3 linked regions of the Danio rerio genome follow. The protein of the gene in region 2 interacts with the protein of the main gene of each other region in a pairwise test. Links are inferred from orthologs where the notes say so. Each region holds a gene or a part of one and is shown on either strand. Other genes may lie near its edges.

Region 1 (3,760 bases), on a different chromosome or scaffold from region 2:
TTTAACAGATTTACCATAGAAATAATATATACCACCAATATATTAAAAGTGTACTAAAGTGAATGCTACATATAGTTTATTCATTCATTCATTTTCTTGTCGGTTTAGTCCCTTTATTAATCCAGGGTCGCCACAGCAGAACCAACCGCCAACTTATCCAGCAAGTTTTTTTACACAGCGGATGCCCTTCCAGCCGCAACCCATCTCTGGGAAACATACACACACACACACACACACACACACACACACACACACACACACACACACACACACACACACACACACACACACACACACACACATTACGGACAATTTAGCCTACTCACCTGTACCGCATGTCTTTGGACTGTGGTGGAAACTGGAGCACCTGGAGGAAACCCACGCGAATGCAGGGAGAACATGCAAACTTTTCTGTTTTCTTATGACATAAAGGCTAATAAAATACGTTTGGAAAATTGTGATTTGTATTTTCACAGCGTTTGATTGATGTTATTGCATGATCTTGCTATGCTGAAACTACTTCAGTTTAAAACTTCACAGAAAATCAATTGTGAACGGCTGGCAGTGGTGATATAATAAAATTAACTAATTAACAAATAAACTAAGCCGAAAAGAAAATGAATGAAAGAATGAAAGAATGAATGAATGAATGAATGAATGAATGAATGAATGAATGAATGACATGTTAAACTTGTTCATTGTTCAAAACATTGCATTTTAGTGCATTAAAATAATTTAAAACAACAACAACAAAACATGCAGTGACAGATCCAATGGTTCAGAAAAACCATTATCAAGAATTACCACAAACACATATGTTTAAAAGTGTAGCTGTTAGAGTGATTACTACATATACAGTTTAATCTAGATATAAAATCTTTCAGATTTTAACTTTAGATGGGGCAAACAATTTTTTGTCTCTTAATGACATGCACAGATGAATTATTCACCACAGAACTAACAATGCAAGCTAACAAAATCAATATGGTCAGTTTTGATTTCATCTGTACTTAAATCATCAATTGATCGTTTTAATAATCAAAACATTCGTCCAGATCGCCAGACTCATTTTAAACACCGTAGTGACGGGAAACAGAGACATCTAGAGGTGAAACACCATATGAACAACACATGATGGAGAAGAACTACAACCCCCGATCCACTACAGCTCCTCCTTCTTGTAGGACGCATTTGCGTCTGACGTCACGCTGGCTTGTTTTGGCCGTTTGTGTCGATATCCGGCGATCAAACGCTGTCGATGTGCTGGATATTGTGACTGAGAGGTACGTGAGATTCTTGAAACAGTCTTCGTGTGTTGAAGTCTTAAATGTGCTTGTTTATCCTCGCCCTTCAGCTGAGGTGAAATACCCGGCTGAGAGGGTAAATCTGTCTTGTTTAAGTGATGTCAGCTGGCGAGGAGGGTTAACGCCAAACAGCTAGCTGAGCCTGGCTAGGGAGTTTAGCGAGTGTTGATTTGCTTGTTTCTTCTGCCCTTTGGTACAACTGACTACTTCAGCGATGTTTTTCTTTGAAAAGAGTTGGATAAACGCCTGATCAAATCCTCAGCGCAAAACGAGCTGTTTTCGGCTGACAAACTACAGGAATTAACTGATTGTTTCAAAACATAGTGTGCTGACTACTTAGGAAGCATGCTTGCCTGGTTTTAGGCGCAACCGAACTGAAACACCATAGATAAACAAGACAGGAAAGTACATTTAAATGGCTGCGTAGAGAGAAATTCAGTGACAGCGCTGTTTTCTAAAAAAATAAACCCCCCTTTTGATCAAGGACATCAACTCTTTTACTGTCAACTTTCAAATTCATGTCCTGTGACGTTATATAAACTCAAGCCAGTCAAAGGTGCGGAATTGAAGATGTGGTTTGAGTCTCTCATTTATTCTGAGATGCTTAAAATGTTAGTCATGTTTGGAAACTTCATAGTGGGAAATGAGATGTTCGATATATCTTCATAATTAAAGGGATAGTTCACCCGAAAATGAAACTTTTCTGTTTTTTACTAACCCTCATGATATCCAAGATTGAGGTGATTTGCTTGTCTTTCTTCGAGTTTTAAAGTAGATTGAGGTATTGTAAGTTTGAGGTAAAGATGGTTTTATATTTACACATTTATTCAGTGACAGCTTGTGACATGCTCCCTATATTGTTTACCTTGGTACTTTGGACGTTCGGTCTGAAATCACATGCAAGTATGACTTCAAAACAGCATTAGCACTGTTGATTTGACTTTGAACAATGTTGTACTTTGATAGCCATTGGCTGCTACTAGGGTTTCTCTATTTAGAAATTGCAAAGAATACTTTTCTGAAATTATATTATTACGGAGAAAGTCAGAATGTGTAAATATAAAACCAATTTTACCTGAATATTTAGGGATGCTCCAATCAGGATTTTTGCAGCCGATACAGAGTACACATTCCTTGTCATGGTGATCGACTGATACCGAGTACTGATTCTGATGCTTCAAGGTTTTTAATGCATTAAGCACACTTTCCCTCTAAGTTTAAAGCTTAAGAGTAGATCTAGCCTTTCCTAAGAAAATAAATTAAGGATGCTGCATAAAATACCTTAAACATATTTCTTATAACCTTTCAGGTGTGAACATTTCATGGCCAGAAGCAGCTTTACCTTATAAATATGGTGCCAGATCAGTCTCAAAATAACACATTTACAAAATAAAATTCCTACATGCACAGCACAATTCACATTTCACAAAATCCAATTTGTACATTTGTAAACACAATTCATGAATTCACAATTAAAATCATATATCTTTTCACAAAATTAATTAGATTTGTGTATTTTTGAATCATGTTTTGAATTTACATATTGAATTAGCTTTTTTTAATCGTTTTTATATTTACAAATTTGATTTGTATTTTTTTCATTTTTTTTTGAGTTTTCAAATTTGATTTGTGTATTTTTAAATCCTGTTTTAAACTTCAAATTGAATTTTGTAAATGTGAATTGTGTTGTGGTTGTATGATTTTTATTTTGTGAATGTATTATTTTTGAGACTGATCTGGCTCCATATAAAAACATAAGACAGTATAAACGGGTCACTCTGCATCTGTATTTGATCTGCTATAACGTGAACACGTTGATTGCTCACAGCCCCATCCATCTTTTACCTTGTTATGTGTTGTGGCTGCTGTAGGGAATGTATAATATATGGGAGCACATGTGGGTTTTCTTCTGCCTGTAAACTCCAAAACACCAATCGAGTTATGAAATGTGATTATCGGCCGATACCAATCTTCTGCAGATCGATCGGAGCATCCCTATCAGTAAGTTGCATTGATTGAGCTAAAGTTGGTTCTTATGATCACACATTTGTTCAGTGCCAACTTGTGACACGGTCTCCATGTTCTTTACCACACTACTTCGAATATTTGTCCCAAATGCCATGCAAGTATGACTTCAAAACTACATTAGCATTTATTTGACTGTGAACAATGTTATATTTTGATATAGGGTTGCACAATATATAGTTTCAGCATTAATATTGCAATGTGATATTTCGCAATAGTCAATCGGAGGATATGCTATGTTGAGTTTATATTATAATTTATCATTTGCATGTGTTTTTGATGCCTGGAATTGTATAATGACTTTTAAAAAACGTTCAGGCATAAGAAATTGTACAATTTGTGACTTTAATAATGATTCATTTTATTTTGTTATTTTTATTTTTATTATTTAGTTACTGTGCTTGAATACTGTTAGAGTCGGGGAACAATAA
Region 2 (3,660 bases):
TTAGCAGAAGAAATGACACAATATACTTGATACAATTCTTTAAGTGTTTACATACAGCTGCATCCTGTTGATTATTATTGACGCGGAGAGCATCGATCACTTCCTTCTCATCGAAGCCCATCTCCATTAGTGCAATCACTGCCTGCTTACACACAAACGACACAACGCATCTCATTCAAAATGGCTTGGGCATATATTAGTGCTACAGCAATGTTTGAGTTTAAAACTCAACTGTTCTTCTTGTGTTTCTCATGACTCTCACATGACACTAACCCGTGAGTCTGGTCTGAACTCTCTTTTTCTTCTGATCCTTTTAAAGATCTCTGTCAGTTCATCCTGTTTGGCCTCGTCTATGCTGGCCTGGGAGATCAAACGAGCACGGGCTGCTAAAGCTGTGGCAGAGGCTCCTGGAGCAGGCGCTGCAGCGGCGGCTGCCCCTGGACTCTCCTGTCCTGGTAGAGGCGCATCAACCATGGGGTCATCAACATGCTCAATCAGCCATTCCATAGCCTGGGTCACAGACATGCTGCAAACAGAGTGCTTTGTTATTAGTGGCTTTTATTTAACCCAACGAGAGCTGAGATTTTTTACAGTTCATAACCCACAAAACCATCTTTTTTGTTCATTTATCTGTTGTTATCTAGATTGTGGTTCTCAACCTTTTTCACTTCGAGGCCCACCTTTTTCTCTGAAAAATTTTTGAAGACCCAAACTGATTGTCTAGAGCAGGGGTGACCAAACTCTGTCCTGGAGGGCCGGTGTCCTGCAGATTTTAGCTCAAACTTGCCTTGACACACCTGCAAGGATGTTTTTAGAGTAGAAAGCCTAGTAAGAGCTTGATAAGCTAGCCCAGGTGTGTCTGATTGGGGTTGGAACTAAACTTTGCAGCACACCGGCCCTCCAGGACCATGTTTGGACATGCCTGGTCTAGAGAAAATGCTTATTTTAAAGCTTTATTTATTAGCAAAACATTTATTTTGCCCTCTATTACTCCCTAGTTTTTCAACATTTTTTTATGTATATATGTATATATATAAAGTTATATATATATATATATATATATAAGAATATATATATATATATATATATATATATATATATATATATATATATATATATATATATATATATATATATAAAACTTTAAAAACACACAGACAGGTTCAAAGCTCCTGAATTCTTTCCTTCAGTTATTCTTTAAAGCTGCAGAGTATTTGGGCCTTTTCTTCATCTATTGATTTATATCCACTTAACCCCAACCCTAAATGTAAAATAAAGAAACAACCATCTAAATATGTTGAAAAAAATCGATCTGATGGTGGTTTAGTTTGTAGCTGGACATTATTAGAGTTCGCTGACAGGAAAGGTGAACGGCTGTTCATAAATGAAACACCACAGATTGTTGCTAGATCCTCCTGTACGGACTCACTTTAGTTATAAAACGCTCGCAAGATGTTAATTTGGACAACTATGAGGATGTTTTAAAGTGTTCACACAAAGAAAAAATACATAGTTTGTGAATCAGGAGACTTGTGTGACTCTGATACAGTATGAGTTGCAGACGTGAGGCAAGCGTGAGCTGCTTATTATAAAACAACATTACCTTTACATTTGCATAACTGTTTGCTTTATACAACTGAGAACATAGTCCCATTTGACGCGCAGCGGTTGGAAATTTAAGCCACAGTTTTTTCACAGTGAGGCTGTTTTTGCACAGTCCAAATTAGTCTGCTCAATCACAGAAAACAGGAAATGCCATTACTATTTTATTTTTAATATGACGTTTAATAATGACATCAAATAATTATAGTACAATATTAAAGGTAATTTTAAGCCATCTCACAGTCCACCTGCAGGATCGCTGAGGCCCACTGATTGAAAATCTTTGATCTATATAATAATTTAGCATGTTTTCATATCATGCCTTAACGCAGCATTTCTCAATCCCCGTTCTTACGCCCTCCTCCTCTACATATTTTGCATGTCTCTCCTATTTAACAAAGCTGATTTAGATTAGCGTTATACCGCGGTCACACTTGAGTTTAAGCATGTGAATTTTGTAGTACAGCGCTGCGAAAAGCTGCGAGATTAAACAAGATGATTAGACATTTAGAAAAGCGAGAGATTTGTTCATATTTTACATATCTGTCCAGAGAGGTCATGTTTTGATCTTTGATTGGTCTTGCACAGTCACGTGATGCAATTTCCCAGGTTAGAGTTAACCAAGCTTAAACTTTGCAATGCAGCAAACTACGAAACTAGTTGCACGAACTTGCATTTTCAGTCTGACACATTCGCATCGTATGAATGGAAATCTATGGGGCCTGCAACACTGCATACTTTGGATGTCTCCTTTGTCTGTCACACCCATTACAAATCTTTCAGTCTCTGCTAATGAGCTGATGATGTGAAACTGGTGTGTTTGGTTAAGAAGACAAGAAAAACAAGCTAATAGTCCTACAGAATTGTGGGTGAGAAACACTGGCTGTTTCTCAATATGCGTTGTTCACCTATCTTGCATCCTTGTGTTCTTGTGTAACGTCATCATCAACCGCAAAAGTTCAGTTACAAAACCCAAGACCGCAAGAACAGAGGACACGCGAAAGTTCCTGAATGTGTTCTTGATATCGAGGATGCGTTTTGTGCATGTTATATATATTCAAAAGGGGGAAAACAAGAAATCGTTGTATGAATTCCGTAGGTGATGCAGTGGCGCAGGTAATGCTGTCGCGTCACAGGAAGAAGGTTGCTGGTTCGAGCCTGGGCTGGGTCAGTTGGCATTTCTGTGTGGAGTTTGCATGTTCCCCCACAGTCCAAAGACATGCACTATAGGTGAATCAGGTAAGCTAAATTATCCATATTTTATGTGTGTGAAAGAGAGTGTATGAGATTCCATGATGGGTTGCAGCTGGAAGGGCATTCGCTGCATGAAACATGTGCTGGATAAGTTAGAGGTTCATTCCACTGTGTCGACCCCAGATTAATAAAGGGACTAAGCTGAAATGAAAATGAATGAATGAACGAATGCTGTAATGTTTTATTAATTTCCAGTTGCGTGAATGCGTGAAGGTCATGTGACCATCAAAAAGAATGCAGCATTTCATTTCTCAGAGGTAGCGTTCTCTGTTCTCATGGTCTCAGAAAGTTCATTCAACCGAGGTAACTTGGCAAGAACGGTCTCCACAAGAACACGAGTCCGTTCTCTGCATTCTTGGAATTGAGAAACAGCCAAGGAAAATGAGCTGGTGGTCCTCCAGGAACGCGGTTAAGAAACACTGATTTAGATGACCATCTCCATGCATGAACTGTGTTCTCACTGATATGTCCCTACGCAGTGTGCATTTCCTAGACCCTTCCTTATTGCTCACTACCTGCGCATGAGAAAATCTTATTTCACTTCAGAACGTTCATTCATGTATTTGTGGCATTGCCTTCAGCGTCTTACAAGTAAATTGTGAAGCATGAGCTTAATGAGAGCAAGCGCAGAGAAAAAGTGAAATGTGTAGCAGGGGGAGCACCTATTAAAGGACTGGGATTGAGAAATGCTGCCTTAAAAGGTACACGAAACACCCCAATATACAGTCCTAAAAGCATATAGTATATACAGTATGAGCATATCAATTCTACATCAAATGTCTACCAATGTGTCTCTAAAGTTTG
Region 3 (3,660 bases), on a different chromosome or scaffold from region 2:
GACTGCTTGATCAGAGAGATGGCCGTCACCAGAGTCTCTATAGCACTGCCGTAATCAGCTGCAGAAACGGAAACGGTTAATTCACAACACACCACACCTCATATTTGTGCTGGGTGTAATGATCTCCACACCTGCACTGGCATCAGAAACGGCCCTTGAAATAGCGCTGCTGGAAATCGCTCTGTTCCGGTTCATGATCTCCTCAAACTCAGCTTCGCTCAGGGGAGTGCGAGACGCATCCATGTCCCTGAAGCACACAAAATGCTGATTAATGAACACGCGCAAACTAAAAGCACGAGTCAGAGCGAAGCGTAATGCTTCAGGGATCGAATTCACACAAAGAGCTGCAGTGGTCGTTAGTGCTGAATCACATTGCATCACATGTTAAATCAAAGTGAGGCACAGACATTTCAGCAACTAAAAACTAAAGCGACACCAAAATAAAAGGAAATACCATCCAAATGCAAGATAGACAGGTTTAAAAAAATAGTTACGTTTCACGTATGTTTTGTGGTATTTTTGTTGTTTTCTGCTTTGCGCTCTTCTCTCTCTCTCTCTCTCTCTCTCTCGCAGTGGTCCTATCCTGTTTCAGGTGTGCTACCATTGGTCGAGTGAGCTGTCATTCACCTTCGTCACTCAATCGGCGCTAATAAGGATTGGGTCCGCGCAGTATAAAACCGGTGCGCTTGCGCTGTTCTGGAGGAGCGCTTGGCCTGTCAATCTCTCAAACTGTTGACTTGTTTGTTCCGCTTGGTTTGTTTGCGAGTGCTGTGTTCTAGTTTTCTCTTTGTTGATATGGATTTATCAGTTAAACTTGTGCTGCTCAGGTTAATGTATAGTGAGAATATGAACGATCTTTATGAGAATTGGATTACCTGAGATCTTGTTTTGCTAATGGCTAACAGTCTGTACTTTACAAGAATTCTAGTATTTCGAGCAGCTTAGTATAACTTTGTATTAGTTCGTTTTTGGAGGCGTTGCCTCATGTGTAATTATGTTTGGGAGTTATGAAGTTTAGTTAAGCTACGTGCTGAAGATTACTGTTTTGTTTCTGCATTTTTCTTTGATCAGTCAGTTTAGTGGGTTGGGGTTTAGTTAGATCGTTTTGTTATATTTATTTCTTTGTTTTGGCAACACTCCTATTTTTCTTTATTTAATTCAATTATTTAAAATTACATTTATCTTCCATCTCATATTCATTGTTTGACATTATCCATTAATAAATACTTACTTTTTGTTTCACTTATCAAGCGTTTGTGTCTTCTCCTTATTCACCCAGCATCAATGGACTCACTGATTGTTACGTATCATCCTTTTAATTATTTAACATCATTAACACGTAACAATATATAAATACATTTAGGAGTTCACACTTAGACAATGCTTAACTATGATAGCAGGTTTGGCATGCTGTCCCAGGAGAGAACCTGAATCTCAAATCGAAGAGCACAAGGTTCCCGTTTGGTCAATGAGCATTAGTTTGGATAGGAGATCGGGTATTCTTCGAGAGCCCTCTCGTTTGTTTTATACTATGGTTAATATGGTGGTTCTGACTGATTCAGTATGTATGCGTTAAGTGCTTATGACTTTACAGTTCGCTTATGTACATGTTTTAAGACTGTTGGAGGAAACCGGAGTACCCGAGGAAAACATACGGGAACACAGGGTGAACATGCAAACTCATGGCAGAGAGTAACGACTGGCTCAATTAGAACTTGAACCTTTGGCCCTCCCACTGCGAGGCAGCAGCGCCAGCCATTGAGCCACCCTGTTGCCCTATCATATAATTAACGAGGAAGGAGAAGGGAAGGATAGAAGGGGGTTTGCCAAAAACGAAGACAGGGAACGGAGTTTAGGCAGGATATTCATAGTAGTTTTGGAATGATCTGATAGGCTAGCTAATGATCAGTGATGAGGATCAGCTCTAGTTGATCATATCACGTGCTCTTCTAGAAATTAGTTTGTGAAACTTCACTTATTTTTTAATATTTATAAAATGTTATCAAGTTATGGCTGTCAATATTAAAATGTAATGTGAAATGATTAAATTACATCTAAATGTGCTTCCAATGAAAAACAATTGAATGCATATTTGCAGTGTTATCTGTTGTAGTGAGCATGCCATCACAGCATACTATAGTAAGACTGTTCATTTAACTGTGCACATACACTTCGGGCTTTTTAGAGTATAGGTGTAGTTGTGGGCGATGTGTTTATTACCTGCCACCAGGGAAGTCTCTGTCATAAGGAGGTGGGCGGCCGTACGGGTCTCCAGGTGGGGGTCCTCTGCCGTCAGATGATGGCATGTTGTTTCCAGGTGGTGGGAAGAAGGCCGGGTTGACGTGAGGAGCCGGCGGTGGGCCTCCAGGTGGGGGTCCCTGCATGTGTGGTGGGGGTGCGAGGCCAAGCGGGGGTCCTAAGGGCCCAGGTGGACGGGGAGGGAAGGGTCCTGGAGGGGGTGGTCCCTGCTGAGGTGGAGGGGGGCCTGGGGGAGGCCCGTATCCTGGTGGGGGAGGCCCAGGAGGCATCGGGCCCATTGGGGGTTGCCCGAACTGACCAGGAAACAAGACAGGTGGAGGAGGACGGTCTCCTCTGTTAGGGGGTCCGCCGAGGGGAGGAGGCAGACCTTGTCCAGGTGGAGGGGGGCCTGGAGGTCCCAGGGGCCCAGGTGGGCCAGAGGGAAGACGTGGTGGGCCCTGCATACCTGCAAGAAGATTTGATGCATTACATTTTGAAGCAGAGAGGAGAAGGGATTACAAAAATACACATGAAATCAAAACTAACCGTATGATTTTGGGAGCTCACACTGCTAGTTTTGTGGTGAACATTAAACATCACCCATTCTTGATTTAGGACAATTGATCAACTTTTTCTGATTCACTTGAAAAGTGACCCATTCACCTCAGAGCATCAGTTTTCAGACCAAATATTGTTGCCAAATATTTGTTATTTCCTTATTAATTACTGATCTCATTTCATTCCTTCCCAAAGGTACTTTAACATCTACTTGATTTTTCTTCAATGATTCTTTTTGCCAATTTATCTGCCAATTTTATTTCCCATTATTCCAATATGTGCCGGTCCACAACAAAAATGTACATTTTTACCCTCTACTTTAAGTCTGTATAATGTTGTAGAAACTTGCATTATTAAATCTTCTCTATCAGTTGTTATAGATCCAACAACTGATAGAACAAATTACAGTCCTATTTGTTTCCTCCCATTGCAGACCTATAATAATAGCTGTTAGTTCTGATGTATATACTGACAATTCAAAAGTTCACTCCTGTTCAAGCTTATACCTGGGAAGTGTGGTGGAGGACCGCCAGGTCCAACCGGTCCAGGGAAGCGGTCTCCTTGTCCAGGTGGGCCAGGAAAGCGTCTCTGACCTTTGCCAGGAGGGAATCCTCCACCTCGAGATCCTGAGCCTGGAGGACCAGCCTTCCCCTCTCCTGACATCTGTCCTGACTGTGTGCCTGCGTGGACCAAAACACACTCTTCTAAACTGCAGCACACATACAGCAACGCTATTCTCATTCAGTAAGTTTAAAGTCCCCGTGAAATCAAAATTAACATTAGATGTTAGTTTTAAGGATATCTATAGTCTAGTGTGCTCCAAAACAGTGATAAAATTTACATTTACAAGATAAAAACATAAAA

What was found. The genes of interacting proteins can lie anywhere in the genome.
Region 1: the proteins of ubac1 (region 2) and rnf216 interact in binary tests that used the Homo sapiens proteins (3 or more experiments, as listed by UniProt). The link is inferred for Danio rerio from reciprocal best matches to the Homo sapiens genes UBAC1 and RNF216.
Region 3: the proteins of ubac1 (region 2) and cpsf6 interact in a two-hybrid assay, tested with the Homo sapiens proteins (2 studies listed by BioGRID and IntAct). The link is inferred for Danio rerio from reciprocal best matches to the Homo sapiens genes UBAC1 and CPSF6.

The regions. Positions count from the first base shown.
Region 1 is NC_133178.1:39,616,778-39,620,537, reverse strand, and holds the start of rnf216 (E3 ubiquitin-protein ligase RNF216), read left to right. Parts: upstream 1-1,205; 5' UTR 1,206-1,283; intron 1,284-3,760.
Region 2 is NC_133180.1:55,322,680-55,326,339, reverse strand, and holds part of ubac1 (ubiquitin-associated domain-containing protein 1), read right to left. Parts: intron 527-3,660; coding exon 274-526; intron 146-273; coding exon of another isoform or gene 143-145; coding exon 56-142; intron 1-55.
Region 3 is NC_133179.1:2,380,890-2,384,549, forward strand, and holds part of cpsf6 (cleavage and polyadenylation specificity factor subunit 6), read right to left. Parts: intron 3,477-3,660; coding exon 3,303-3,476; intron 2,705-3,302; coding exon 2,221-2,704; intron 248-2,220; coding exon 132-247; intron 59-131; coding exon 1-58. UniProt on the Homo sapiens protein: Component of the cleavage factor Im (CFIm) complex that functions as an activator of the pre-mRNA 3'-end cleavage and polyadenylation processing required for the maturation of pre-mRNA into functional mRNAs.